Linked DNA regions of Macaca fascicularis. The protein of the gene in region 7 interacts with the protein of the main gene of each other region in a pairwise test. Links are inferred from orthologs where the notes say so. Each region holds a gene or a part of one and is shown on either strand. Other genes may lie near its edges. The genes, in order: SNX15, SNX10, NIF3L1, MIEF2, RAB33A, ZFYVE21 and RABAC1.

Region 1 (3,500 bases), on a different chromosome or scaffold from region 7:
CCTAATTTTTTTACTTTTAGTAGAGACGGGGTTTCACCATGTTGGCCAGGCTGGTCTTGAACTCCTAACCTCAAGTGATCCACCTGCCTTGGCCTCCCAAAATGCTGGGATTATAGGTGTGAGCCACCACGCCTGGCCAAGATGTTCTTTTGTTCTTTTGAAGCAAGGTGAAAGATTGCTGTTGTCAGGTTATGCCAGGCCAGTGGGGAAGTACCACAGAATGGCCACACAGTAACTGGACCAGAGTTAGCCTGCACTGCATAATACCTAGGACAGAGCAGTGAAACTGTGACTCGCACCTGTGATCTCAGCACTTTGGGAAGCCAAGGCAAGGTAATCACTTGAGCTCAGGAGTTCAAGACCAGCCTGGGCAACATGGTAAAACCCCATCTCTACAAAAAATACAAAAATTAGCCAGGCATGGTGGTGTGCACCTATAGTCCCAGCTACTTGGGAGGCTGAGGCAGGAGGGCGGCTTGATCCCAGGTGGCAGAGGTTGCAGTGAGCTGAGATTGTGCCACTGCACACCAGCCTAGATAACAGAGCCAGGCCTTGTCTCAAAAAACAAATGGGGGCTACTTGCTGTGTGACCTTGGGCAAGTCACTTTCCCTCTCTGAGCCTTACTTTTCTCCTCATTAGATCAAAGCCATCAGAAATGTTTTTGTTTCTTGTTAACTACCTAGCTCCCCCTGTGTAGGATGTGATATTCACAAGGGCAGAGACTTGTTCCTCCCCTGTTCACCTTCTGAGTCTAGCATATAGTAGGTGCTCAGTAAACATCTGGCAAATGAATGAATAGGGAAATTGATCCGTCCTGGAAGCCCCTCCCTCACCCCAGGAGGAGCCAGAGAAGATTCCTGGGAGAAGGGGTAGGAGGGCAGTGAGTTGCTCAGAGCATCTCAGGCAGGACCAGGAAAAGTGGCCCTGGGGCAGAAGCCCCTATAGGTCACCGCCACTCTCCCCTGTTCCTTGTCCTGGGGGCTGTAGGCCGATTTGAAGCCTCAGTGATCGAGGAGCGGCGAAAGGGGGCAGAGGACCTGCTTCGCTTCACCGTGCACATACCTGCGCTCAACAACAGCCCCCAGCTCAAGGAGTTCTTCAGGGTATGTGCACCTTCCACCTTACCAGAACTTGGGCCACTTACCCACCCACCAGATTGCACCCCATGACTCCCCATGGCTGATCTTTCTGTCCTGCAGGGTGGGGAGGTGACCCGACCCTCGGAGATGTCCAGGGACCTGCACATCCTGCCACCCCCTCTGATCCCCACCCCGCCCCCTGATGACCCCCGGCTACCCCAGCCGCTCCCTGCAGAAAGGAGGGGCCTTGAGGAATTGGAGGTGCCAGGTACATCAGGGTGGGAGGAGGGAGCCAAGGCTGGAGGGTACAGAGTGGGGAGGGGGCCACACTCACTCCTCAGTGGTCTTAGTGAGAAATGGGCGTGTGTCCAGGTCTATCACTGACTGGCTGAGGAACTTTGGGCAGGTCCTTTTCCTTCTCTGCACTACAGTTTCTTAATCTGTAAAATGGGCATAAACCCTAATAACGGGCTTGTCTATGCCCATGGTTGCTGCAAGGGTTTAGAGAGAGAGTAATTCCATTTTGAAAGCTGAGAAATAAATGCGGGTATTCATGACTCCAATTATCTCTTCCTCAGTGGACCCCCCACCATCCAGCCCTGCCCAGGAGGCCCTGGATCTTCTCTTTAACTGTGAGAGCACCGAGGAAGCGTCTGGTTCCCCTGCCCGAGGCCCCCTCACCGAGGCTGAGCTGGCCCTCTTCGACCCCTTCTCCAAAGAAGGTAATGAGCTGGGTCAGCCGGGAAGGAGCCAGGGCAGGACATCCTTTGGACAGGGAGGAGGGCAGAGCCCCACTAGCCTGCTCAGTGCCTGCGCAGATCTGGGAAAGACGTCCCCTCAGTAGTGCTGCCCTGTGGACCAAGAGCAGCTTCAGTGAGAATGAGCAGCTCCGTGCCAGGGCTCGTGGTGTGGTGTGCTGGATGCACCTGTGCAACAAGTAGCCATGAGGAAGGAAAGGAGGCACTTCCCACGTTGGGGCCATCTCACTGAGAAGGCTTTGGAAAGAGCCGGGTCACACTGCTCTGGGACATTTTAGTTCCTTCGCTGTAAGCTCGTGGTGGGATTTCCTGGCTGGCCAGGGTCTGGCTGCAGATCCTGAAGGCAAGAAGCCTGCTGGTCAATGGAAGTGAGTTCTGAGCTCAAAGAGCAGCTGCAAAGGGAAACCCCTCTGGGGGCCTGGAGCCACTGGCATTTGGGGATGCCGGAGATTGAAGGGCCCCCTGATGGAGGTTAGGGTCCTGGGCACCTTCTTGCTGTGAGATCCTGGGACTCGACAGTCCCAAGCTCTGAGGCACTGGAGTTTTTCATTCTAAAATTCGCCAAGGCCTGGCACATTGGCTCACACCTGTAATCTCAACACTTTGGGAGGCTGAGGCAGGGAGATCCCAGGAATTCAAGACCAGCCTGGACAATATAGCGAGAGCCCATGTCTGTTATTCTTTTTTTTTTTTTCTGAGACAGAGTCTCACTCTGTTGTCCATTCTGGAGTGCAGTGGCGCAATCTCTGCTCACTGCAACCTCCCGGGTTCAAGCGATTCTCTGGCCTCAGCTTCCCGAGTAGCTGGGACTACAGGCACACACCACGGTGCCTGGCTAATTTTGTATTTTTAGTTGAGATGAGATTTCTTCATGTTGGTCAGACTGGTCTCAAAACTCCTGACCCTCAAGTGATCCACCCTCCTCGGCCTCCCAGAGTGCTGAGATTACAGGTATGAGCCAAGTGCCCTGCCTCTCACTTTTCTCGTTCTGCTTCCTCCTGTTCCTGCTACTGCCTCTCCAGGGTTGGGGAGTGGGAAGAAGGAATGGGAGGGAAAGGCAGTGTTGGTGTCACAGGGCTGTTGTGTCTGGCCTCTGGGTGGCAGGCATCCAAGTGCTCTGTCCTTGTGTCAGCTGAGCGCCTGCCTGGGCAGGAGCTTTTCTATTTTCTCTTTTTTTTTTTTCCCTTTCTTTTTTTTCTTTTTCTTTTTCTTTTTTTTTTTTTTTTTTTTTTGAGATAGGGTCTGGCTCTGTCACCACGCTAGAGGGCAGTGGTGTGATCGTGGCTCACTGCAGCCTCTACCTCCTAGGCCCAAGCGATCCCCCCACCTCCGCCTCCCGAATAGCTGGGACAGAACCACAGGCATGCACCATCACGCCCAGCTAAGTTGTTGATTTTTTCTAGAGACAAGCTCTCACTATGTTGCCCAGGCTGGTCTCAAGCTCCTGCACTCAAGTAGTCCTCCCACCTCGGCCTCCTGAAGCGCTGGATTATAGGCATGAGCAACTGTCCAACCAGGATCTTTTCAAGACCCTTCACACGCAGCTCCAGTGAGACTCACTCAGCCCATGGGGAGAGTCCCCGGAGCCTGGAGCTGCAAGGCTTCAGAAAACCCCTGAGATTCTCGAAGTCTCCTATTCTAAGATTATTCCAAGGCTTGGAG
Region 2 (2,629 bases), on a different chromosome or scaffold from region 7:
GAATGCAAATAATTGAATTTCTACTGCATTCATTAATTCAGTGTGGAGGTGTGTGTGAAGACTACTATGATGAGCTGTCACAGCTCAATAAAATCTCAGTCAATTAATTTTTTCATTATCTTAGTATTACATCAACAAAAAAGTGAAGTGTGTATATATATCTATACACATGCATATGTGCACTATGTGTTACATAAATACATATACATTAAATCAAAATGCAAGGAAATACCTTTCTGAATCATAATCTATATCATTTTCTTTTTTTCCTTCTTCATCTTCTTCAGGGAAACGTCTGTTCATCAAGGCAAACTTGTGAATTGCTTCTTCCACAGAATACTTAGTCTGCCCAGAAACACACGCCTCAATGTCTTCTGAATTCAGATGGCTCTGTAAGAAGAGGTGAAGGCTGCTATCTGAAAGCAAAAGTGCATTCTGTAGGACTCTGTATTAAAATAGAAAAAAAGGAAAAATAATTGGTGAACAAGATGGTCAGTGATAGGGTAGAAGAAAGAAAAACATTAGAAAATGTACCACTGAAGGTAATTTCTCTCCTGTGGTAAACTTTGTATCAATTATGGGGCTCTGCCCATTAAGGGGAGGAAAGCATATGTTAACTTTTATTCAATTATTTGGAAATTTAGGTGGGTAAAAACATGAAGCTAATAGTTAAGAACATCTGTTAAAAGAATAACTTCAAGGACATTTCTTCAATTTACCCATCTGTTATTACCATGTGGATTAATTATGGAAATATTTTGCTTAAATAGTCATAGAAATTTATTCTACTTTAAAAAATTTACTGCCAACAGCATGTCAACTCAGTGATCTTTATGAGATAGGCTGTCATGAAACATCAAAACTTTCAACTACTATTAAAAATTGTATGAAGAAGTCGATACAATTCTCAGCATATTTTACATTTTAAAACTTTACAAGTATAGTTATATACTTAAGTGCATGTTTACAACAGCTCATGAGAGAGATGGCTTTTTTTTTAATACTTAAGGTTAACTATAAATTTCTCCAAAATCTTTAGGAGCACTGAATCTGTGTGTTGTCAAAATGAGCAACCAAATAAAATTGATCCCAGCCAACTTTACCATATATATAATTAAAATATGATAAGGTTGTGATGAGTACATACTGCTCTTCCCACATTCAAGATCAAAGTTTACAAAGACAGAACAGATTTCAACCAGGGCATCAGGACTACATGGAAGATTAAAAACTATCCTGTAGCAAAATCTATAGATGCTCAAATTCATATCAGTGAATGTGTTTTCTCTGAAATGCACATCTTAGAATATGAAATCAAATCAAAGTATACCTTTATATTTAAATAAAAACTGATTTATCTTTTAGCAAAGATGTTGACATATGATAATTTAGTCTCTACGAATAATAGTTCAATAGTTATGTAAGAGGAGACACTAAGACCGGATATAGGGGACAAAACTAAAACACTAAAACCAAGTAGAGTTTTGTTCAACATAAGATATTTCCAGTATAACGATCTGTGAAAAATAGATCATGTATTTCAGACCAAATGAACCTTACCTTATATTCTGCTTGTTTAAACAAGTAATAAGGAAAGTAAATCTCTTTTGGCCATTAATATCAGTTTAGTGAAAATCCAAGGCCATTATAATAAGTCCTTTTCTACAAAATAAATTATTTCTCAACAAAGGCAAAAATGCCTAAAAATGCACAGTATTAAAACCAAAATCTAGCTGTCCCCTTTGCTTCAGCAGGTTTACAGTTTGAGAAAATATTCTTTACTGGTCTATTAGAAGGAAAAGTAAAACCTTTGTGCTTTTCAAAAGGCAAAACCTCAAGCAAAACAGCTAAATCCTTCCTTTTCCCTGTGTCCTCACTCCTGGGTCCTCCCAGAAGATGACCATGTCACATGATAATGATTAATTCACCAAGTACAAGTAGCTAAGTAGTAAATCCCTCTGTACTCTTTGAGATTTATTTTCTACATTTACAAATGTTTACCGTTCTGGTTTTAAATACTTCAGATTAAGAGAAGAGTTACAGACAACAATCCATTAATATGAACTTGGATCGTGAAGTCTGCGAAGTGAGCAGACTGTTTCCTGTGGCCTCTGTCAGCGGTTTCCTGCCTGCCGTCAGTACAAGGAACTGTTCATGGGATTGTACTCACAGCTTTGTTTCTGTTAGAAATGTGTTTTATTTTCTTTATAAAATAATGGGTAATCTTTAAAATTGATTTTAGATGGTTTGAGGCATCACACCACAAAAGTAATGAGCACTAATGCCAATGATACTGGACACAAATTCATTTTAGCTTTATTTCATGTCTGAAGCAATTCTACTGAGCCTTGAACCGCTCACGTGTTGTTATTAACTTGCTAGTAACTTAACACATGGGTACAGCAAACAAAAGTGATCAGAGTCCAGGTTGATTGGGACCTCAAGGCTACTGTCCTTTTTCTTGAGCTATAATTCAATTTCCAATTTTACTGTACATTAGACTCATTATTTCCCAGTGTTTTCTTTTTCTGCTCAATACTGCCATCTGGAGGACACACAGATGAAAAGAGAAGGAGCCAGGCTCACCCAGCTCACAGTTCCAAAGAGGGAGAAAGATGTGGCTGAGGAG
Region 3 (4,118 bases), on a different chromosome or scaffold from region 7:
GAAGAAAATGACTTTATTCTAATTAACTCACAAAGAATAAAATCATAACAGCTAGTTTAAGGAGGTAACACATTTTGCCCAGTCCCAAATTCTACAGAGTAGGAACACACCCCCTTCCATTTCAGTTCTGAAGTAAGGAAGCTAGGAATGACAGGAGAGGTTTAACTGATGGTTACACTTTATACCTTCACTATCAATTCTATTTTTACACTAAATTAACTTAAGGTATGAGAGCTGATTTTCCATCTCTCCAGGTTGAACTTCTTGATTAGGCCAATCCGTTTGCAAGTCGGCACTGTTTCAGCACCTCATTGAAACCCTCACAGAGCTTGATGTCACCCTGGTTCTGGGCACACTCCAGAAACTGTTTGATCTCATAGAAGCAAGGCTGCTGCTGCTGTGCCAGCTGGGTTCCCTGTGGCTCCTGGTAAGTGATGTCAGGACTCGCAGGCTCCACTTATTTTTTTTTTGAGACGGAGTCTTGCTCTGTTGCCCAGGCTGTAGTGCAGTGGTAGATCTCGGCTCACTGCAACCTCCACCTCCCAAGTTGAAACAATTCTGCCCCACCCTCCCGAATAGCTGGGATTACAGGAGCTTGCCACCACGCCCGGCTAATTTTTTGTATTTCTAATAGAGATGGGGTTTCATCATCTTGGCCAGGCTGGTCTTGAACTCCTGACCTCGTGATCCACCCACCTTGGCCTCCCATAGTGCTGGGATTACAGGCGTGAGCCACCGCACCCGACCTCCTCCAGGTTTTATTCTAAACTCTGCCACTTTTAATCAGTGGTGCAAATATGGTTATTTTTTGGTTTTAAGAGTGTTAGTCCAAACTGCACCATTTTGTAAATCCCTGCCCCCCGCCCTCCCCCGTTCCCCCGGCCCTGCCCCGTCTCCCCCACAGGCTATTTTGCAGACCTTGGTCAAAGTGAAACATTCCACGGGGGTTCGGGCTGTGAGAAACATCCTGCCCAACCACCTGACCACAAAACGGACAAACGCACCACTAAAGAAACACCTCTGTCATATTCTGCTGTGAGAAAGTGCGAAGAACACCGCATTCCTGCAGGGGCATGGTGGCTCACCCCTGTAATCCCAGCACTTTGGGAGGCCGAGGCGGGTGGGTCACCTGAGGTCAGGAATTCCAGACCAGCCTGGCCAACATGGCAAAACCCCGTCTCTACTAAAAATACAAAAATTAGCGGGTCGTGGTGGCGCGCGCCTGCAGTCCCAGCTACCGGGGAAGCTGAGACAGGAGAATCGCTTGAACTCAGGAGGCGGAGGTTGCCGTGAGCGGAGATCGCACCACTGCACTCCAGCCTGGGTGACAGAGCAAGGCTCCATCTCAAAACAAAAACAAAAAACAAAACAAAAAAACCCACCACCACCACATTCCGCGGGAACAAGGGCCAGAACCGCCTCGTTATGGGAACATCTTAACATCCTGCAGGGCAGCAAGCCAGTAAGCGTTATGGCCCAGGCCCCTCCCGCCCTTACCTAAAAGTATCCCACTGGTGGGCACCGGCATTAGGCTGGTCCCCCACTTCTGTAGATCTTAGGCTGGACATAAAGCCTGCATTTGCTGTAGAGCCGCCACTCTGTTTCTTTAACGCTGGCCTTCCCTTCAAAAACTTATCAAGGAGTTTTATTCTTAGAATGTGTACTCAAGTTACAGCCATAAAAGCATCATAGGAGGTACGCTGGCTACCCACGGTGGGCCTAATGCAGGCACCATGAGGATCAAGGTGCAGAACATTGATTTCTGTTGGCTCACACTGAGCTGACACGTTCACTGATCCCATTAGTAATCTGAAGCCATCTGACGCTAGTGGTATAACATTTACTTATTTTTTAGAGACAGGGGTCTCCCTATGCTGCCCAGGCTGGTCTCGAAATCCTGGGCTCAAGCGATTCGCTCTCCTCGGCCTCCCAAAGTGCTAGGGTTACGCGCCAGACACATCGCGCCGTGAAGTATTATTTTTAAAGTAATTGTTTTAGTGGTCGCAATCAGGGCACGTGCTATTGTGTATCCTGAGTCCCTCACTTTTCCTTGTTCACAAGTTATTCCTTGTTCTAGCGTTCAAAAACAATTTTCAGTGAGTGGGGACGACACTCTCCCCTAAAACTGCAATGTTTTCTCGGTATCGGGAGATTAGAGACAACACAGCAAGCATCTACAACTTCCTTTCATCACCCACCTCTGGCTCCCGCCCCGGCGCCTGCGCCCACCGTGGTCACGCGTCCGCCAACGCTCCGGACGCCCGCCCCTTCCGCCTGCTCGCCCCGTGCATGCCCCGCCCCGCGGCGGAGACGCGCTCGTTGCGTCATCGGTGTTTTCGAGGCGAGTCCCGACGCAGCAGCTGTCAGCTCCATTTTGTTGTCGGTGCTCGTCGCAGTCAGCTGGGTGATTCCCGTGATTGCGTTACAAGCTTTGTCTCCTTCGACTTGGAGTCTTTGTCCAGGACGGTAAGACGCAGGAGGGAGCGGACTAGGTGACAGGGCCGTTCCTGTGAGCCTCGCGGGCGCCTGGCGATGCCACCACTTCCCGCTTGTTTGCTGCCCGCCGTCCCTGGCGCGACGACTGCCTGCTCCCTTCACTCCCAGGCTGCATAATGGCGGCGCGCCCCTCTTTCCTGCGCGGCCGAGCCCGTCGCCGCCGGATCCGGCCTGCGGGAGTAGTTACGGTGTTTGCTAGGCCGGCCGCCCTCTTGGAGTGTTCGCCCTCCGCTGAGGGAGCGGCGCCGCCTGACGTGGGAGGGTCGGGTGGGCGCCATGTTGTGGGCCGCCTCGGCCGAGCTGTAAGATGGCGGCTGGGCGGAGGCCGGCCTTGGCACTGTGGCCGGAAAGGCGAGGCTCCCTGTTGGGGGTGGGGTTTGCTGGGGTTCCGGAATGTGCTTGAAGCACGCAGCTGTGGGGAAATGTCGTCTGGAGCAAGTGGAGGAAGAGACGGAACCCGTAGGGGGTTACAGTTAATGTCTAGTGGTTAAAGGGTCGGCGTAAACGTCGCGAGTGGCTTTGTCCTCAGTGGTGTTAACAAAAACGAGACTTGGGAACCTAAGGAAAGAGAAATGCCGGGGTGTATTTGAAGGAGCGTTGTGACAAAAGTCTGGTGACCGAGCATTTTATGCGATGGCGTTTCAGCGTACTCCTCTTGGGTTAGCAGTTGGAGCTTTTGTTTCTTGGAGTGTCGCTCTGTCGCGCAGGCTAGAGTGTAGTGGCGCGATCTCGGGTCACTGCAGCCTCCGCCTCGCGGGTTCAAGCGATTCTCCTGCTGCCTCAGCCTCTCGAGTATCTGGGATTGCAGGCCCGCGCCACCACGTCCGGTTAATGTTTGTATTTTTAGTAGAGACGGAGTTTCATCGTATTAGACTGGCCTCAAACTCTTGACCTCAGGTGATCCATCCGCCTCGGCCTCCCAAAGTGCTGGGATTACAGGGGTGAGCCACCGCGCCCCGCCTCCCTTTTTTTTGGGGTGGGGGGAGAAGGTCTCGCCCCTGTCGCCCAGGCCGGAGTGCAAGTGGTGCAATGAGGGCTCACTGCAGCCTTGAAATCCGGGCTCAGGTGATCTTCCCACCTCAGCCTCCTGAGTAGTTGGGACTACAGGCGCGCGCTACCACCCCCCGGTTAATTTTTTATTTTTTGTAGAGTCAGGGTCTCGCTATGTTGCTCTGGCTGACCTCGAATTCCTGGGCTCAAGCAATCATCCTGCTTCAGCCTCCCAAAGTGCTGGGGTTACAGGCATAAGCCACGGCCCCCGACCCGGTTGGAGGGCTTTAGAAATTGTACTCAGGCTGGTCCAATGGTAATGGGTTATTATAACTTAGTAGTTACTAGTGTCACAAAAATTAGTATACAACCCCTACAGCTAAATTTGACAGGCTTTAAAAAAAAAAAAAAAAATTGTAGCCAAAGACGCAGAGGGGTTCCACTTGGAAGAAAGAACGGCAGTTGATGAATTTCTATATAATGTCGTTTTCAAGTTGTTAGGTTAGAGATTTTCGATTTTGTTCGAAGGATTTCTGAAAAGAAGGTGGTTCTTACCATTCCCAAATTGATTGTGTTAACATTGCGTTTAGGATAAATTATGTCGTATGTGATTGGGAGTGGTACTGGAAAGA
Region 4 (4,120 bases), on a different chromosome or scaffold from region 7:
TTTCCCCATCTAAAGCTCCCCACTATCACAACGCTGCCACTTTGCTCCAGGAGCAGGACAAAGAAACCCCACCCCCATTAAATGTCTGAGGAGCCCGCAACCCAGAGAGAAGCAGGGACTCGCACAGGGCCGCACAGTCAGTCAGGGCAAAGCCTGGGCTGCGTCTCTCGAATGTGACACCAACAGAGGGGAAGGAGTGCCACTCACCTGGGGCAGAGGGCGAGGGGGCCAAGGGCAACACTGGCTGGCTGAGGGCAGCAGGTGGAGGCCGGGGCTGCAGGTGTGGTGTGGCCTTGAGCAGGCTCAGTTCCTTCCAGCTGTCTCCCTTGGTGTCATCCTCGTCCCGTGGGCTAGTGGCCCTGTCAATGAACTACAGGCAGAGTCACAGAGATCAGTGTATATGAAGTCTGGGCAGCCGTAGCAAAGCCCAGGGGCAAAGGAGACCAGGGTGCAGGGTGGAGAAGCAGGTGCAGTCTTGCAAGGCCTTGGGCAGTCCCCACCCCTCCCCAGGGCCCCTCTGAAAAGCCCAACCCTGTTGTCCTCCTGCAGGAGCCTCAGGCATGACCCACCCACCTGGCCTTACCCGCTTCACGGCCAGGGTGGCAATGCCCAGCACAGCAGCCCCGCCCACGCCCAGCACCAGGCGGGCATTGGCCAGGAGGAAGTCCACCATGCTGCCCAGCCCCTCGTCGCCACGCCGCTTCCCCCGTTTCTGGGAGAACTCTGCCATGGTCTGCCTGTAAGAGAGCCAGGGGTGAAGGGGCAGCTCAGGTGCAGGTGGCCAGGCTGAGAGAGGGGCTGCTGTGGGCAGGTGCTCTGGCTGTCCTTATGCTGGGTAAGAGAGCTCAGCCCATGAGGGGGGTTTTCTGAGAATTTCTCAAGAGAAAGGGGCCACCCATCCACAGGGGAGGACACCAAGGTCCTGGGAAACCATGTAAAGTACCTAAGAAAGGGCAGGGATGAGATATGAACTTGGGTTTTGGGGCCCCAATCCCCCATCTCTCACGAGGAGATGAGGGAGCTGCCAAGCCCCTTCCCCCAAAGCTGCAAACAACCCACTCCCTGGAAAGAAGCTCGCAAAGGCCCTGAGGCTTGTGCAGGTAGAGGAAGGGGCCGCTCTCCCTGGAGCCCACCCTCCAGGACCTCTGACATCACCAGGGTGTCATCATCTCCATCCCTATGTTACAGAGCCACAGGCTGCCAGCTCACAAGTGAGTGGTGAGGTCTCCAACCCACGACTGCAAGGCCTCCAGACTCTCATCACTCACAGAGTCTGACAGATTCTCCCTGTGCCAGGTGGCCAGGTCCTCAGCAGCAGCCTTATCTGAAAGTCCCTAACCAGAGGGCACGGCAGCCCTCTATGATAGCCTCTTCAGAAGAGCCCAAAGTCCAGAGAAGACAAACAATTTGGGGCCCCAGCCAGTCTGGGGGACCACTGGAACCAGTTACCCTCCAAATCTTGACAGGGTAGCCCCAAGAGGCAGAGCTACCGAGTCAGAGCACAGGCAGAGTGACACGGCCCGAGCTGCCCGGGCAGGCCAATGCAGATGTGCTTCTCAGGGTTGAAGCCCCTTTGGCAGGGCAGAAAGGGCTGCCCAGTGCCTCTGTACAGAGGGCTCTCTGGGCCTCTCAGTCTTGGGACAATGTGTAGGTAGTGGTGGGTGATGCTTCTCAGCTGCAGGGAGGCCAAGCAACAGAGAAAGGAAGGTGAGGGCCTGGGCCCAGCCCGTTTGCTCACCTGTAAGATGGCATACGCAGCAGTGAGAGGCAGATGTGGGCAGGCTTGAAGTGTGTGGCTGGGTGGGGCCCAGCACTTGGGAAGTGGAGGCAAAGATCTAGGACCCAGTCCACATTCCTCACGTTCTGCGAGGGTGACACTGCCCTCAGGCCCTGGGAGATGAGCTGGGCTGTGACCTTCGAACATCAGTTAGACACTAAGCAGAACTCTCCCAGGGAGGCCTGAGCAGATGACCATGAGGTCACAGCCTGCCCGGGCACCAAGGACTTCCACCTGCCCTGCCAGAGTGTCGTGCCAGGGGCCCAGTTGCCAGGTGACCAGATGCCTGGAGTAGCTAAAGCCCGAAGCGCTGTGTGACTCAGCCCCGTACACCCGCCTATTCGCCCCAGACTAAAAATAAGACGGTCTGTGGGGAGATCCCAGGCCAACCAGGTGACCCGCCACGGCCCCAAGGCCGGTTTCAGTCTCCTCATCCGTGACTCGGGAATCAATACTGCCACCCACCCCCAGAGAGACCAGGAATCTACTTTGCAAACTGTAAAGCGCTTTAAATACTCCCAACCTGTCTAAATTGGGACTCAGCCCCACCACTGGCGGGGTCGCTCAGGCCTCAGCCCACAGCCTTCCAGCTCCGGGAAGCGGGAGAGGGCACGGGTGGCTGAAAATAACCCGAGTTTGCCCAACGAGGCCCTGGAGGCCGTCTGGCCTTCCCTCCTCTGCCAAACGCGCCTGCCGTGGGCCCGGGCGGTGCAGCCCGCAGCAGCAGCCCTAGGTGGGCGGGTGACGCCCCGTTCGCAGGGAAACTAAGAGACCGAGAGGGGAAGGGGGCTGGGCTGGGATTCGAACGCGGCCCTTGGTCCCCCAAAGGTCCCCTCCCCGCCTTCCCCAGCCGTGACCGCGGGCCACGCCTCCGATCAGCGTTCAGTCGCGCGCCAAGCCCTGAGCCCGGTGACCCTGGGGGCCGCCCCGCCGCGCTCCAGCTGTACCTGCGTCGCAGCTTCCGCACAACAACCGGAGGAGGCCGCGGGACCACGGTCCCTGAGCTCGAACCAGCCTGAGACTGGAACGTGAAGGACCCTGGAACCCGACGTCGAGGGCCCCCGGGGGCGGCCGCGGACTTCGCAGCACGCAGACAAGCAGGCCCTAAGTCCAATCGGAGCGCTCGAGTTCGGAGCACAGGTGCCAAAATACTGCGCAGTTCAGCCAATGAAGGGTAGGCCCCGCCCCCCAGCCGACAGACGCGCTCCCTTCGGGGCGGGACTCCCTGACGCAGTCCGAATTTAAAGGTGCAGGGCTGCATTCCGAGCCTGCGACCAGGTGATGTGACAGGCAGCCCTCCGGGAAGTCTGTGCGTTGTAATGTGAGCCTCCGGTGTGGAAAAAGCTGTCTGGGCCCCCGTTCCTTCCAGGAGCCAGGTAGAGAGGCTGCACATGGCTAGAGGCCCGGCACATCCAACCTGTTAGATCACCTCTGCGAGAGAGTGTCTTGGTGGCCTCGTTCTTAACTGTGGGCCTGCGAGGCACAGTGTGGCGAAAGTGCCTACCCCTGCCACCTGCTCCGTGCGAGCTTATGTGGGCCATTCTCCACCTGGGCCTGTTTTTCTCCTGTAAAATGGGGACACTAGACCCCCTCCTCCCCTACGAAGCATGGCTGGGCATATAACAGCTGTGGCTCATTTATCGGGGTCCTGCTATGTGTCAGCCAGGGCGAGCCCCCTGTGAACAGCAGGGACCAAGACAGATGCTTCTCTTCTGGACCCTCCCTTTGTAGGGGGGCACGAGCACAGGGGTGCTGACACTAAGTGGGAATAATAAACCTGGCACACAAAACAAAACGGAATAATAACCTGCCACTCACTGAGCGCCTGCTGTATGCTGCAGGCTACACGTGCATTCTTTGTTCATTTACTTATGGTGACAATCTTAGGAAGCATTTTACAAATGAGGAAACTGGGTAGGGCGCGGTGGCTCACGCCTGTCATCCCAGCACTCTGAGAAGCTGAGACCGGAGGATCACTTGAGGCCAGGACATCAAGACCAGCCTGGGCAACATAGCAAGACCTTCGTGTCTACAAAAAAACAAAAATAAATTTAGCCAGGTGTGGTGGTCTGCGCCTATAGTCCCAGCTAATCGGGAGGCTGAGCCCAGGAGTTCGAGGCTGCAGTGAGCTATGATCACACCACTGCACTCCAGCCTGGGCGGCAGAGCAAGAAGACCCTGTCTCAACAAAATAAAAACAACACATGAGGAAACTAAGTCCAGAAGCTGGAGAGCTAGGACCCGAGGAGCCAGGTGTCTCACTACCACCGGTCAGCCAAGTACAGGCACTTCCTGGGCCCCTGCGACCCGGGGCCAGGGTTTAGAATCTCTCCGAGGTCAGGG
Region 5 (4,169 bases), on a different chromosome or scaffold from region 7:
AAGATGTGTGTGATGATTAGTAAGCTTTGGGAAGCAGCCCCCTAATATTGTAAGGAGATTGTGTTCATTTATCATCTTCCAAGCATAATCTAGGCTTCTGGCAAATTAGACTCAACCACTTTGTTCTACATTCAGCTGCAGGGGGAGTGAACCCTCCTAGGGATTCCCAACTCCCTCTGAAACTCCACCCTTCTGGAAGGACTTACGGTTATATGGAGGGCTTGGGAGTGGAAGGCACTGTGGAGCTTATGCCATGTCCCAAGATCCTCCACCTGGGCCAGTAATGGCTAGCCCCATAAACAAAGTCCCCTTTTGCTGGAACTGCCACCACTAGCTTCCCCCCTTCTCCTAGCCTCTGTGTGGCCCTCTCCCGCGGCGAGCCTTCCCCATTGGCCAGCCAAACACAACCGACTGCGGCAGCCAATAGGAGCCGCTCTCCTGAACATTCAGAGGATGGGTGCTCGTGGTGTGATGAGGGGATGTTGGCGCCTGGTACGCGCCCCCCTACATCTGGCAAGTCTGTGACAGAAACAGTAACACCCCCTACACACGCACACGCGCGCCCGCTGGCTCCCTCCTCTCAACTGTGCAGGCCCGGGACAACCCACTGCGTGTCTTGGCAGCGCCCTCTCAGGCTGCCTGGGGCCCGTGAGTGCACCTGCTCACTCAATAAGACAGAACATCCCTTTATCCCAAGGCGCGGGTCGGGTAGAGGGTGGGGGTAGAGGGGACGGGGTAGCGGGGACCGGGAAGGCGCGGCTCAGCTGCCGGCTGCTCCCGAAGTGAAAGAGGTGCCTTAGCCCCCACCCCATCCCTGCAGAGTTGTGTTGCTCCAGGGAGGCCGAAGTGATCCAGTGATGCCTTAGGGTGCAGCTCTTTGTCCTCCCCAGCTGTGCTCCCTGCCCGCTGATCCCGTGCGCTCCGAGCCAGTGGGGGTGGGGAGCCCGAAACTTATAATATAAATGGGGGCAAGGAGAAAGAAGTCTATCCCGGGGTGGCGTGTGCTGCTGTCCCCACCCCCTCCCTTTCCTCCTGAGGCTTCTTCCCTCCGGTCGGTCTCGGGGGTGCAGGCAGGGGAGAGTGTGGGCCGAGGCGCGGCGGCGGCTGGAGCAGCGCCGTAGGGTCCTTCGCCAGAGCATCCGGTCCGAGGGCGCACACAGGCAGAAGGCTCGCCGCTCGTCCACTCTCCTCCCTCTCTCCTCCTCTCCCTGGCTTTTGTGTTGGTGCCTCCGAGCTGCAAGGAGGGTGCGCTGGAGGAGGAGGAGGGGGGCCCGGAATGAGAGGCACCCTCTTCACGCGCGCGCGCACACGGTGCCGGCGCACGCACACACGGGCGGACACACACACACGCGCGCACACACACGCGCACAGAGCTCGCTCGCCTCGAGCGCACGAACGTGGACGTTCTCTTTGTGTGGAGCCCTCGAGGGGGGTTGGGGCCCCGGTTCGGTCCGGGGGAGATGGCGCAGCCCATCCTGGGCCATGGGAGCCTGGAGCCCGCCTCGGCCGCTGGCCTGGCGTCCCTGGAGCTTGACTCGTCGCTGGACCAGTACGTGCAGATTCGCATCTTCAAAATCATCGTGATTGGGGACTCCAACGTGGGCAAGACCTGCCTAACCTTCCGCTTCTGCGGGGGTACCTTCCCAGACAAGACTGAAGCCACCATCGGCGTGGACTTCAGGGAGAAGACCGTGGAAATCGAGGGCGAGAAGATCAAGGTGATCCCGGGGGTCAGGTCCAGGAAGGGAGGGACCTGGGAGGGGACCTCGCCCGAGGCATAGCTGTAGCGGTTGTCATCGTCCAGCGTCCCAGCGCGTGGCGGTTTCGCCTCTTGCTGAGCCGAGGACCCTCGGCCCCTCCTCACCCCTTTTCACCTCTCTCAGCGGGGTCCCGTCCCCATATCACTCAGTTTTTTAGGGCGGTCGAGAATGGTTGCATTCTTACCCTTTGCTCCTGCCTGACAGGTCCTGCCAGGAAAAGCATGTTGGATCCCATCCTTGACCCCTAGCCCGAGCAGCGGCACCTGTGGGCAGAGGGAGGCAGGAGGCATCTCTGGGTCCTAGTCTGTGGGATGGATCCCAAAGCACTTTACACATCCTGATGTCTCTTCTACCGCTTGGGTGCCGATAGGCTGCAAAACCCCACTTCAGCTAAGCCTCAAGTCATTAGAGGGAAGGAAAGGATGGAAATCCATGGAGAATGAAAAAGCTGCTTTATTTTAAATTGCAGTTTATAGTTAAGATTAGGGCTGAGTTGAGATGGGGGTGGAGTGAGGTGGTTCTGGCAGAAAGCCATGAGCCCTTTTAAAGAAATTGAGGCAGGGTCACCAGCCAGCCCTTTGTAATCAACAAAACTTGTTTTTTATTGTAACAGGCCCCCTGGAATGGTATTTTCTTTACTTGTCTGGGGTATCTAATACATGAACTGCTCCTTATTCATTCTGTTGGTATTGTCTTCAGAAGGTCTTTGTAAAAATGCAGTGACTTAACCGAGGGCCAGGGAAATGCTCAATCCTCCCCCCTCCATGAGTTTATGTAATAGGCTAAGTGCAAATATTCTTGTCTGACCATTTGTGCTCACCTTTAATTCAGAAAAGGTAGAAACCTGATATGACACGAATATGTCAATGTGCAGGGCATGGAGGGAGGGAGGACATAACAAGGGCAACTTCCTGTGTCAGGGGAGCAGAGGGGGGCCTCTATAAAGGCAATGGAATCACTGAAGACAACTCCTCTAGGCTCACAGCTGGCCTTTCCTTGAGCGTATGGTTGGACCCTAGACAGAGTCAGGGGTAACAGTAAGCCTCCTTCTTGCTGGTCAAACGGCCAAAGTGACCACAAGGCCCCTCCTCTGAGTGACGTGGAGAGAAGGGCTGAGTAACTGATGAAACACTTGAAACTGTGCAAGACTCTGACTCCTTGATTATTAAAATGAACATGTTCTAAAAATGGCTTCAGAAACTGGGCCAACGCACTAGATGTCAGGAAGATGGACAGCTCAGTACTGATAAGGGAGAGCCCCAGGGTCAGGAAGATAGAACATTATTTTGAAATTGTGATCTTTTTTGCCCCTTGCATTTTGAAGGGGAATTGCTACATTTCCTTTTAAAGTCAAAGGCAGCATCTTGTCTTTGTCCTTTCCTGGGGCTGTTGACATTTGCTTGGTTAAGACTTCCTCTAGTGTGTCTGGCTTCTTTAATGTAAGGCTATACGATTCTAGAATTTCTAAAACATGCCTTTGTAATCCAAAGTAGAAATATCTTTACGGATGGGCTCTTAAACCCTCAAAAACCTAATGCTCTCATTTGCTTAAAATCAAGTGTTACAGTAAGCCAAAGAGTTCCCTGGATTTAAAAGGTGGGAAATAAGCCCATCTGAAATTTAAATGGAAAAAAATGAAGTGTTTGGGAATCTAAAGAAGGAGGGAGGAGGAAGCTAGAAAGTGAGGGATGGGAGATGAACACGAGTGGAAGAGTCACCACCCAGTGGTCTCGGAGGAATTTTTAAACCATTCCTTCTCTTCTAACACCCCAGTACTTAGCCAAACTGGACTTTACAGTCTCTGGCAAAGATTCCAGACTTTTTCCCAGAGGGCAGAGCCTGTGACAGTGTGACTCACTAGAAACAGAACTCAGCACAACACCACGTGCAGATAAGTGCTTAATACAGGCTTTTTTTGGGAAGATGATATTTTCAAGAGGACAAAGCCTTGTGACACTGCTCATGGAGGAGTCCTCTGAGGGCAGATTCTGAAGGAGCTCAGAGCAGCGTGTGAGAGTGGGGAGATGGTGACCCTGCTTCTTGTAAAGCTGCTGCAGTCTCAGGACCAGAGCTGGCAGGTGAGAGACCAGCATGTCTGTGGGAAGATGGCAGGGCCTGGCAGCTAGCACGTGATCTAGATAGGAGAAGATTTGGCCTCACACTCTGGCTAGCCTGAAGTTGTTCAAGGAATACATGCCAAAGCCATGCTTGGAGATGACTGCCAAGGGCTTTGCCCTTTGGGAGAGAGAGAAAAGTCCGGTGTGACAGTCCGAGGTCTGGCCTAGACCATGGCCAGCAATAGAAGGCTTTTGGGCTGTAACATACCAGCCCTTGCAGGAGAGTGGTAGAGAGGTCTCAGCCAGTTCTTCTCAGTCTAAGAGCAACGGTGTGGCCTCTTTTGGGCTGCCT
Region 6 (4,040 bases), on a different chromosome or scaffold from region 7:
GCACTCCAGCCCGGGCGACACAGCGAGACTATTTCAAAAAAAAACAATAAAAATTCATGCCTTGTAATGAGGAATTAAAGGCAGGATGAATAAACATTTTCTTTTTTTCTTTTTTTTTTTTTTTTTGGCTTTTTGAGAACGGGTCTCTGTAGACCAGGCTGGAGTGCAGTAATGTGGTCTTGGCTCACTGCAACCTCCGCCTCCCGGGTCCCGGTTCAAGCAATTCTCCTGTCTCAGTCTCCCAAGCAGCTGGGATTACAGGTACGTGCCATCACGGCCAGCTAATTTTTTGTATTTTTAGTAGAGACGGGGTTTCACCATGTTGGCCAGGCTGGTCTTGAACTCCTGACCTCGTGATTCACCCGCCTCAGCCTCCCAAAGTGCTGGGATACAGGCGTGAGCCACCACGCCCGGCCTAAAAATTTTCTTTCCAAATCAAAGCATTAAAATAACTGTTCAGATCTCTCCCACTTCGATGCCAGGCCAGCGCAGTCCCAGGCGGACGAACGAAGGCATCGAAGGCCGGGGGCGCAGCCGCGGGCCCACCTCGGCCTCCCCTGAGCAGACACCTGCCCGCGCACACCGGGGCCCCCGGAGCCCGCCTTCCCTGCTCTGAGCGCACGCGGCCCTGCCCCGGGAAGGCGCCTGAACGCGACCCGAGCTGTGGCGGGGCACCCAGGGTGAGAGCTGCAGCCCCAGGCCATCCTGCTCCCACCGGCTCCGGCAATGGAGACCCGCGGCCGCCCCCGCCCCTCGACCCTGCCACACCCCTCACGTCCGCGGCCGCCCACGACCTCCGACCCCGCCGCCGCCTGGCACCGCAGCCGGGTTCCGCGGGTCTCACCTACCGCTGGCTCTGCAGTCCTCTTCGCGCCGTCCTGCCCCTCTCGGCTTCCTCCAATAGGCGCCGAGCGCCCTGATAGGGCTACACCAATCAGAGGCGAAACGACGCCGACGTGGCTGACGAACCAACCAATCCAAAGTCTCAATCTTTCTGGGAAGGGCGGAGCGCATCCGGGCCAGCCCTCGCCGCCGATTGGTGACTGACCACAGGGGGGCAGGGGCGGTGCCCTTACGCGGATTGGAGAGGGCCGCGATGGGGCGGAGTTCGAGCTCCGATTAGTCCGCGTTCCGTGGCGGGCTTGGCGATTGGACGCCGGTGCTGTCAGCCGCGCGCGGACCGGGGCGGGGCGGGCGGTGCCCCGGGCTGGGCTAGGGGCCGGGTGCGGGGCCGCGGGCCGAGAGACTGAGGCGGCGTCATGTCCTCCGAGGTGTCCGCGCGCCGCGACGCCAAGAAGCTGGTGCGCTCCCCTAGCGGCCTGCGCATGGTGCCCGAGCACCGCGCCTTCGGAAGCCCGTTCGGCCTGGAGGAGCCGCAGTGGGTCCCGGACAAGGAGGTGGGTGGTCGTCGCCCTGGCCCGCGCCTCCGACCCGCCCCGCCGCCCCGGCCCAGCCAGCGGGCTTCCGGGCTCCTGCGGCGCCCCCTCCGCCTCCGGGCGGCCCCTTCCCCAGCCGGCCCCCGCCCCACTCTCCCCCAGGTTGGCCGCGTCCCCGGGCCGCCGCCTCAGGCTCCTGCGTCCGCGGGGAGGGCGGGAGGCGCGCGGGGTCCAGGTGCGGGGTCCAGGTGCGGGGGTCCCGGGAGGGCAGGAGGCCCTGCACCTGCCCAGGGCGGGCGCCGGGAGGCGGGGTGCGGGGCGCGGGCTGGCCCCGGGCGTGGGTGCGGCCCTGCCCGAGGCCGGTTCGTGCTGGGCTGGCGCGTGTGGACTGCGTCCGGAGAGTCGGGGCTCGCTCCCGAGAAAGTGGAAGGCGGCGCGTGTTCCTCGCAGGCTCGGCAGGGAGGGTGCGTGCTGTCCGCCGAAGCGCTGGAGCCGGGGGCCCCGCAGGGGTCCCGCCCGGGAATCGGGGGAGGCGTCGGTGCCTCGGGCGGGCGGCGGGTTCCGAAGCCATCTCCTGCTCAGAAGCCGGGCCGGGAGGAGGGCCAGGACCCACTCTGCGGGCCTGGCTGCCCCCACTTCCCTTTCGTCTACACCACCCTCCACCTCGGAAGCGAGATCGCAGTCGCCCACTGGACAGTTTGAAGGAGACCGCAGATCTGCACGCGTTTCCCTTAGGCCTAGACACGGCAGGAGTTGCCCAGGCCACTCCTGCAGCAATTGGAGCGGGGGTGGGGGGTCCCTGAGCCAGGCGGTCCCCTGGGCCTCCCGCGGGGTTCCCTGTGACCTGATCGGAGGTGCCTTTGCCTCACACCAGCCCATTGGCCAGCTAGGAAGGCCCTGAGTGCATTTAATCCCACTGCCTGTGCGCTAACAGGTGTGTCCAGTTTCTGTTCTGTGGATTTTAACCACGATAAAAAAAATTGGGAGAGAAAGATAATTTTTGTAATATGACTTTCATGCTTAACACATGTTACAGATTCGTTTAATTCCCTCAGTGAGAGAACTAAGCAGACGTTGGAACTAGGTTCAAGAAGTCAAAGTAGCACTAATTGACTGCGTTCATTGAAGCTTGGTCGGAGGCCTGGTGGGGGGGTGGGCGGCCACAGAGCCTCGGGGACAGGAAGTGTCTCAGCATCTACAGTGTATGCAAGCGTGTCCTGAAGAGTTGAGACCAGTGCTGCTTACCTCTCTCCCCAGTATCGCCACCCTAAGGAGTCTTTTTAGACACTTTCCCCCTAATCATCCGCCTATGACATCTTTTTAAAATTTTACTTTTAAGTTGACAAGTGAAAATTGTATGTATTTATGGTGTAATGAACTCTTAATAGCACAGAAATACTCCACATCTGTATGAACCATATGGAGCACGTGAGAAAGTGTGGCCCAGACGAGGCAGAAGTTTCCAGCAAAGCACAATTTCTTTCTCCCTACTGTACACATGCACTGATCGTACAGTTCTGTTTTTTAGTTGACCACTGTGTTCCCCTCCTTCATTCTCTCTTCCAGAGCCCTTTTGGTATCAGCTGAATTGTTTAGCATTTTCCCCCACCTTTCTTTGTGACCTCTGCTGAGGCACTGTGGAAGTCCCGCGGTGACTTCCGACCGAGTGGAGTTGAAACACTTAAGTCAAGGTGGTACCCCTCGTGGAAAAGAAGATTCCTTCCCATGTTGACGTGGTGGCAGGATGCCTCTCCATTGCCCCCCACCATGTTTGGATGATTAATTGGGATCTGAGCAGCTGAAAAAGGTCCTAGCATTGGGCGGGCTTGGGGGACAGAGAAACCATTCTAGTGAAGATGGACTTTGTCTTTGAGTTTTGTGTTGTGAATTTTATTGGAGCATGGTCTTACAGGCCAGAAGTGACCAAAGACAGTGTTCTGGAGGAACTTAGAACGGGGCAGTGAGGGCTGGAAGATTTGGAATAAAGTCCAGCTTTAGTTGCAATAGCTCGAGGGGACACTACTGTAACAGTCGCCTGGCAGGCATGTGGCGGTGCTGAAGGGGACACTGAGCCACGCTGTGCTGGCTGTGTGCTTGGGGCTGCTAAGGTGATTGTCAGGAGGTGACTCAAATGTGCAGATAACTCGTTGTGGGAAATAGGTTTATTTGTGGTGGTTCGTCACGGGGAGAGGAGAATTTGGTAGAACTTGGCAGGTGGGTAACATTGTCCTTGGCTTGGTGGCCGTGTGCCAATTGGCATCATCGTCATATCTGTAAACGTGTTGATCCATTTTCATTCCGGCTCTGTCCTTAGCCAGGGGAGTCTGAGTCCAGCCCATTGCTCAGCTCCGGAATACCAGGTGCCTGACCTGGGCTGGTTTATCAGTTTGGGCCCATGAGGGTTATCCGTTTAAAATGCTGCAAACCCCCCTGGGGAATGTGTGCCTTTCTCAGAGAGGTGGCCTGCAGCTCTCAGATTCTCAAGGAGCTCTGATGCAGAACCAGTTGAGAATCGTTTCTCCAGTCTGTGCCTCCTCAAGAACCTGTGGGGCAGGGGAGGCAGAGGCGGTGTGTAAAGCTTCGTGCGACACCAGTTTGGATAGAGGTGCTTTGGGGGTGTGAAGGAAGCCTCAGATGATCTCTGGGGCTTGTCTGACTCTGCCA
Region 7 (4,132 bases):
CACTGCACTCCAGCTGGAACAACAGAGCGAAACTCCATCTCAAAAATGAAAAAGAAAACCCGATTCCACTAAAAGCCTGGGGGTGACAAAGAGGAAATAAATAGTAACTAGCCAATCTGATCTTCAAAGTGTAACTCTTCCATCTTCAGTGTGGGGCCCTTGCAAAGGGCTTCCCTGCCTATTGCACCACCAGCCCCTTGGACAGGGCCATCTTCCCCCCACCTCCTGGGAACGCCTTCCAGCAGGCTTCCAAGCACAAACCCTGAAGTGCCGTAGATCTTGGAAGACAAGACCTGGGCCTAAAAGAGTCACTTGGGGCCAGGCACAGTGGCTCATGCCTGTAATCCCAGCACATTGGGAGGCTGAGGTGGACGAATCCCAAGGTCAGGAGTTCGAGACCAACCTAGCCAACATGGTGAAACCCCGTCTTTACTAAAAATACAAAAAATTAGCTGGGCATAGTGGTGCACGCCTGTAATCCCAGCTAGTTGGGAGGCTGAGGCAGGAAAATCGCTTGAACTCAGGAGGCAGAGGTTGCAGTGAGCTGAGATTGTGCCATTGTACTCCAGCCTGGGCAACAAGAGTGAGACTCCATCCCAGAAAAACCCACAAAACTTCCCAACCTTTTCTCTTTCCCAATTTCACTCCCTCCTGTCCAAAGGTGTGTGTGTTTGCAGGTGGGGGGGGGGTGGTGGCGGTGCGGAGGTGTCCCTAGTCCCAACTCATTCATCTTTGGGACTCCACAAAGTGGGGCAGGGGGCAACCTCAGATACCCCTCCAGCAACCATGACCCACTCACTAGCCTCAATCTCTTGAGGAAGGAATCAATTCCCACAAACTCTCTAAATCTTTCTACTCAAAATGTGGTCCATGGACCAGCGGCATCAGCATCACCTGGGAACTCAGAAATGCGAATTATGGGCTCCACCCCAGACTTGCTGAATGAGAACATCTGGGGTGGGGCCCAGGAGTCTGTTTTAGCAAGCCCTCTAGTTGTTTTTTTATGCCCTCTAGAGTCAGAACGACAGCTCTGCACGGTCCCCATTGTGCCCTGCCTGGGAGAGTACACAACACCCTCTTCTGCCATTAGAGCTCCCATAACGCCCTCTTTCCTGACAGCGCACCTGCACCCTCCTGAAACTACAGGTCCCACAATGCCCAGAGGTGCGCGCCGTCACTTTCTGGGATTATATCTCCCAAGGTGTCTTGCGAGTCAGACCGCCATCATGGCGCCCACCCTCCCAGCCACCGTCAGGACTACAACTCCCACAATGATCGGCGGCAGAACTACAGTCCCCAGCTGCTCCCGAGCGGCGCCACGTCGACTCCGCTGGGTGGGGCCGGCCTCGGGCGGGGCCGGCGGGGTCTGCAGGGTACCGGGCTGGTTACAGCAGCTCTACCCCTCACGACGCAGACATGGCAGCCCAGAAGGACCAGCAGAAAGATGTCGAGGCGGAAGGGCTGAGCGCCACGTGAGCGAGCCGGCTCTAGGCCCTCGGACCCGAGGCCCGGGAGTCCGGGACCCTGGCCCCCTCCTCCCTCGAGTGCCCGGAGTCCCAGCCCCGAGACGCACAAGCGCTGGCCCCGGTCTCCTCTAATGGGACCCTGGCGTCTGGGCCCCTACCCCCCTCCCCGCCTGCGATTCAGTAATCTGGGGTCCCGGGAGGGAGTCCAAGCCCCCTTAAACCCCTTCTTTTGCGGGGGTCTGAGGCTCCATCCCGGTCCACCACTGACCCGGCCCCACCCCTCGCAGGACCCTGCTGCCGAAGCTGATTCCCTCCGGTGCAGGCCGGGAGTGGCTGGAGCGGCGCCGCGCGACTATCCGGCCGTGGGGCACCTTCGTGGACCAGCAGCGTTTCTCACGGCCCCGCAACCTGGGCGAGCTGTGCCAGCGCCTCGTACGCAACGTGGAGTACTACCAGAGCAACTATGTGTTCGTGTTCTTGGGCCTCATCCTGTACTGCGTGTGAGTGCATCCCGGGCCCTGCACCCGCACTAGCCCCGACCGGGTGGACCCCTCCTCTCACAGCTCAGGCCCCGCCCTTCAGCGCCCGGGCCCTCCTCTCACCACCCAGGCCCCCCTCCTACCGCCCAGGCCCCTCCCCTCACCGCCCAGGCCCCTCCTCTCACCGCCCAGGCCGGCCCCGCCCCCAAGGATTGGCTCTGCTAGACCTACTTTGTCACCAAAGGGCCAGGTCCCTACCCCACCATCACCCTGGCCAGGATGCAGTGTGACTGAATGTCACCTGGCCCTCCCTGGTCTCCAGAATGTAGCTTGCCTCCCGCCGGTGGAGAAGGCCAGGGCTCCCTGGCTGACCAGCCCCAGCTGCCTAACCGCTGCCTCCCTGCACTCCTCCTCCAGGGTGACGTCCCCTATGTTGCTGGTGGCTCTGGCTGTCTTTTTCGGCGCCTGTTACATTCTCTATCTGCGCACCTTGCAGTCCAAGCTTGTGCTTTTTGGTGAGAAACCCCCTGCCCAGATGAATCCTTGGTCCCTCGAATCTTGGTCTTTTGGAATGCAAACCTCAGACCCCAAATCCAAGTCCTTCAAAACCCAAGTCCGCCGAAGCCTAGATGTACACTAGATCTCCCAAACCTGATCCTTTAAAAATCTCAGACACAACCGATGCTCCCATCGAGTCTCAGCCCCCTCAAATTGCTATTCCTCAAACCTAGGCTCCACCTGGCTGCTGTGCCTTAAACCTACTCCTCTTCAAACCACATGACTCCTCCCCTCTCTCCTCCCCTTGCCGCTTTCTGCGGCAAGCATCAGCTGCAGGTGCCCACACTGGACACCAGGTGGCGAACTTACACTGGCCTAGATCTGTTCCCGTTTCTTTTCCTGCTTTCTGGGATGTGACCAGAAAGAACTTGGAACTTGGGGAAGCTGAGGAGTGTGTTTCATGTGGTTCCCAGACTAGTACCAAGGACCACTGGGAGAACAAAATGCCAGGGGAAATTCCCCCCAGGGGAAAATCAAGGTTTGGAGTGGGGTCAGGGAGTTGGGATTGGGCTGTCAGGTAGACCTGAAGGCCAGGCTCTTCAGGGGCCTGCAAGTTATGTGCATGACGGGCTTAGGGGGAGGGAGCGCCTGCAGCACAGGCACCAGAGCATGCAGACCCCATCCCTGAGACTTCTATGGGAAGCGTGAAGTTGGTATTTTTATGTGAAATCATTCACTTTGCCAGCCACAAATCACATCCTTGTAAAACATCTCAAAACAAACACACATCCACAGGTCAGATTTGGCCTTTGGGCCACCAGTTTGAGACCCCTGGTCTGCGTGAGGGTTGCAGCAGGAGAGCCCTAGTCTAGGGAGCAGGAAGCTGGGATCCCAGGAACTTCCTGGAGGATGTGGGGCAGAGGGCAGAGCGTGGGGCTGAGGCAGGCGAGGACGGTGTGCTGTGTTCTGGAGGGCAGTGAGGACACCAGGGGAGCAGGGTGACCCCAGGACCTGGAGGGCCTTGGCATGAGGAGTTTGGATTTGATCCCGAGGACCTGAAGCTTATACAGATTGTTGGGGGGCAGCAGGGGTTACTCTGGGAGAGGGCATGAAGGGTCGGAACAGCGCCCCAATGCCATCTGCTTTCAGGCCGAGAGGTGAGCCCAGCGCATCAGTACGCTCTGGCTGGAGGCATCTCCTTCCCCTTCTTCTGGCTGGCTGGTGCGGGCTCGGCCGTCTTCTGGGTGCTGGGTGAGTACAGGGTCTGAGCAGCTGGGGTGGATGGTGGGGGCCAGGTACAGGAGCATGGCCCTGAGCTGCCGGCTTTCCTGCAGGAGCCACCCTGGTGGTCATCGGCTCCCATGCTGCCTTCCACCAGATTGAGGCTGTGGACGGGGAGGAGCTGCAGATGGAACCCGTGTGAGGTGTCTTCTGGGACCTGCCAGCCTCCCGGGCCAGCTGCCCCGCCCCTGCCTACTCCTTCCTGCACAGCTCTGCTGCTCGGGCCCATAGCGCCGTCCCATCACAAGCCCGGGGAGGGATCCCGCCTTTGAAAATAAAGCTGTTACGGGTGTCATTCAGGAAATACTCCCCTAGCATCTTCTGTGGGTCTCTATGGGTGCAGCTGGGAATACTGTGCAGATCAGGGTTGGGGTGGAACCTGGGGTGTGGGCAAGATGATAAGGTAAA

The links.
Region 1: the proteins of RABAC1 (region 7) and SNX15 interact in binary tests that used the Homo sapiens proteins (3 or more experiments, as listed by UniProt). The two-hybrid records come from large-scale screens. The link is inferred for Macaca fascicularis from reciprocal best matches to the Homo sapiens genes RABAC1 and SNX15.
Region 2: the proteins of RABAC1 (region 7) and SNX10 interact in binary tests that used the Homo sapiens proteins (3 or more experiments, as listed by UniProt). The two-hybrid records come from large-scale screens. The link is inferred for Macaca fascicularis from reciprocal best matches to the Homo sapiens genes RABAC1 and SNX10.
Region 3: the proteins of RABAC1 (region 7) and NIF3L1 interact in binary tests that used the Homo sapiens proteins (3 or more experiments, as listed by UniProt). The two-hybrid records come from large-scale screens. The link is inferred for Macaca fascicularis from reciprocal best matches to the Homo sapiens genes RABAC1 and NIF3L1.
Region 4: the proteins of RABAC1 (region 7) and MIEF2 interact in binary tests that used the Homo sapiens proteins (3 or more experiments, as listed by UniProt). The two-hybrid records come from large-scale screens. The link is inferred for Macaca fascicularis from reciprocal best matches to the Homo sapiens genes RABAC1 and MIEF2.
Region 5: the proteins of RABAC1 (region 7) and RAB33A interact in binary tests that used the Homo sapiens proteins (3 or more experiments, as listed by UniProt). The two-hybrid records come from large-scale screens. The link is inferred for Macaca fascicularis from reciprocal best matches to the Homo sapiens genes RABAC1 and RAB33A.
Region 6: the proteins of RABAC1 (region 7) and ZFYVE21 interact in binary tests that used the Homo sapiens proteins (3 or more experiments, as listed by UniProt). The two-hybrid records come from large-scale screens. The link is inferred for Macaca fascicularis from reciprocal best matches to the Homo sapiens genes RABAC1 and ZFYVE21.

The regions. Positions count from the first base shown.
Region 1 is NC_088388.1:9,339,897-9,343,396, reverse strand, and holds part of SNX15 (sorting nexin-15), read left to right. Parts: intron 1-988; coding exon 989-1,104; intron 1,105-1,200; coding exon 1,201-1,348; intron 1,349-1,658; coding exon 1,659-1,802; intron 1,803-3,241; exon of another isoform or gene 3,242-3,500. UniProt on the Homo sapiens protein: May be involved in several stages of intracellular trafficking. Overexpression of SNX15 disrupts the normal trafficking of proteins from the plasma membrane to recycling endosomes or the TGN.
Region 2 is NC_088377.1:103,912,161-103,914,789, forward strand, and holds part of SNX10 (sorting nexin-10), read right to left. Parts: intron 446-2,629; coding exon 233-445; intron 1-232. UniProt on the Homo sapiens protein: Probable phosphoinositide-binding protein involved in protein sorting and membrane trafficking in endosomes. Plays a role in cilium biogenesis through regulation of the transport and the localization of proteins to the cilium.
Region 3 is NC_088386.1:96,632,252-96,636,369, reverse strand, and holds the start of NIF3L1 (NIF3-like protein 1), read right to left. Parts: upstream 2,801-4,118; 5' UTR 2,199-2,800; intron 1-2,198. UniProt on the Homo sapiens protein: May function as a transcriptional corepressor through its interaction with COPS2, negatively regulating the expression of genes involved in neuronal differentiation.
Region 4 is NC_088390.1:18,388,743-18,392,862, reverse strand, and holds the start of MIEF2 (mitochondrial dynamics protein MID49), read right to left. Parts: upstream 2,801-4,120; 5' UTR 2,725-2,800; intron 1,960-2,724; 5' UTR 1,753-1,959; coding exon 1,739-1,752; intron 738-1,738; coding exon 584-737; intron 371-583; coding exon 208-370; intron 1-207. UniProt on the Homo sapiens protein: Mitochondrial outer membrane protein involved in the regulation of mitochondrial organization.
Region 5 is NC_088395.1:136,439,261-136,443,429, forward strand, and holds the start of RAB33A (ras-related protein Rab-33A), read left to right. Parts: upstream 1-1,369; 5' UTR 1,370-1,460; coding exon 1,461-1,718; intron 1,719-4,169.
Region 6 is NC_088381.1:171,891,718-171,895,757, forward strand, and holds the start of ZFYVE21 (zinc finger FYVE domain-containing protein 21), read left to right. Parts: upstream 1-1,240; 5' UTR 1,241-1,259; coding exon 1,260-1,397; intron 1,398-4,040. UniProt on the Homo sapiens protein: Plays a role in cell adhesion, and thereby in cell motility which requires repeated formation and disassembly of focal adhesions.
Region 7 is NC_088393.1:48,998,616-49,002,747, reverse strand, and holds RABAC1 (prenylated Rab acceptor protein 1), read left to right. Parts: upstream 1-1,332; 5' UTR 1,333-1,416; coding exon 1,417-1,472; intron 1,473-1,753; coding exon 1,754-1,966; intron 1,967-2,362; coding exon 2,363-2,460; intron 2,461-3,592; coding exon 3,593-3,694; intron 3,695-3,777; coding exon 3,778-3,866; 3' UTR 3,867-4,028; downstream 4,029-4,132. UniProt on the Homo sapiens protein: General Rab protein regulator required for vesicle formation from the Golgi complex. May control vesicle docking and fusion by mediating the action of Rab GTPases to the SNARE complexes.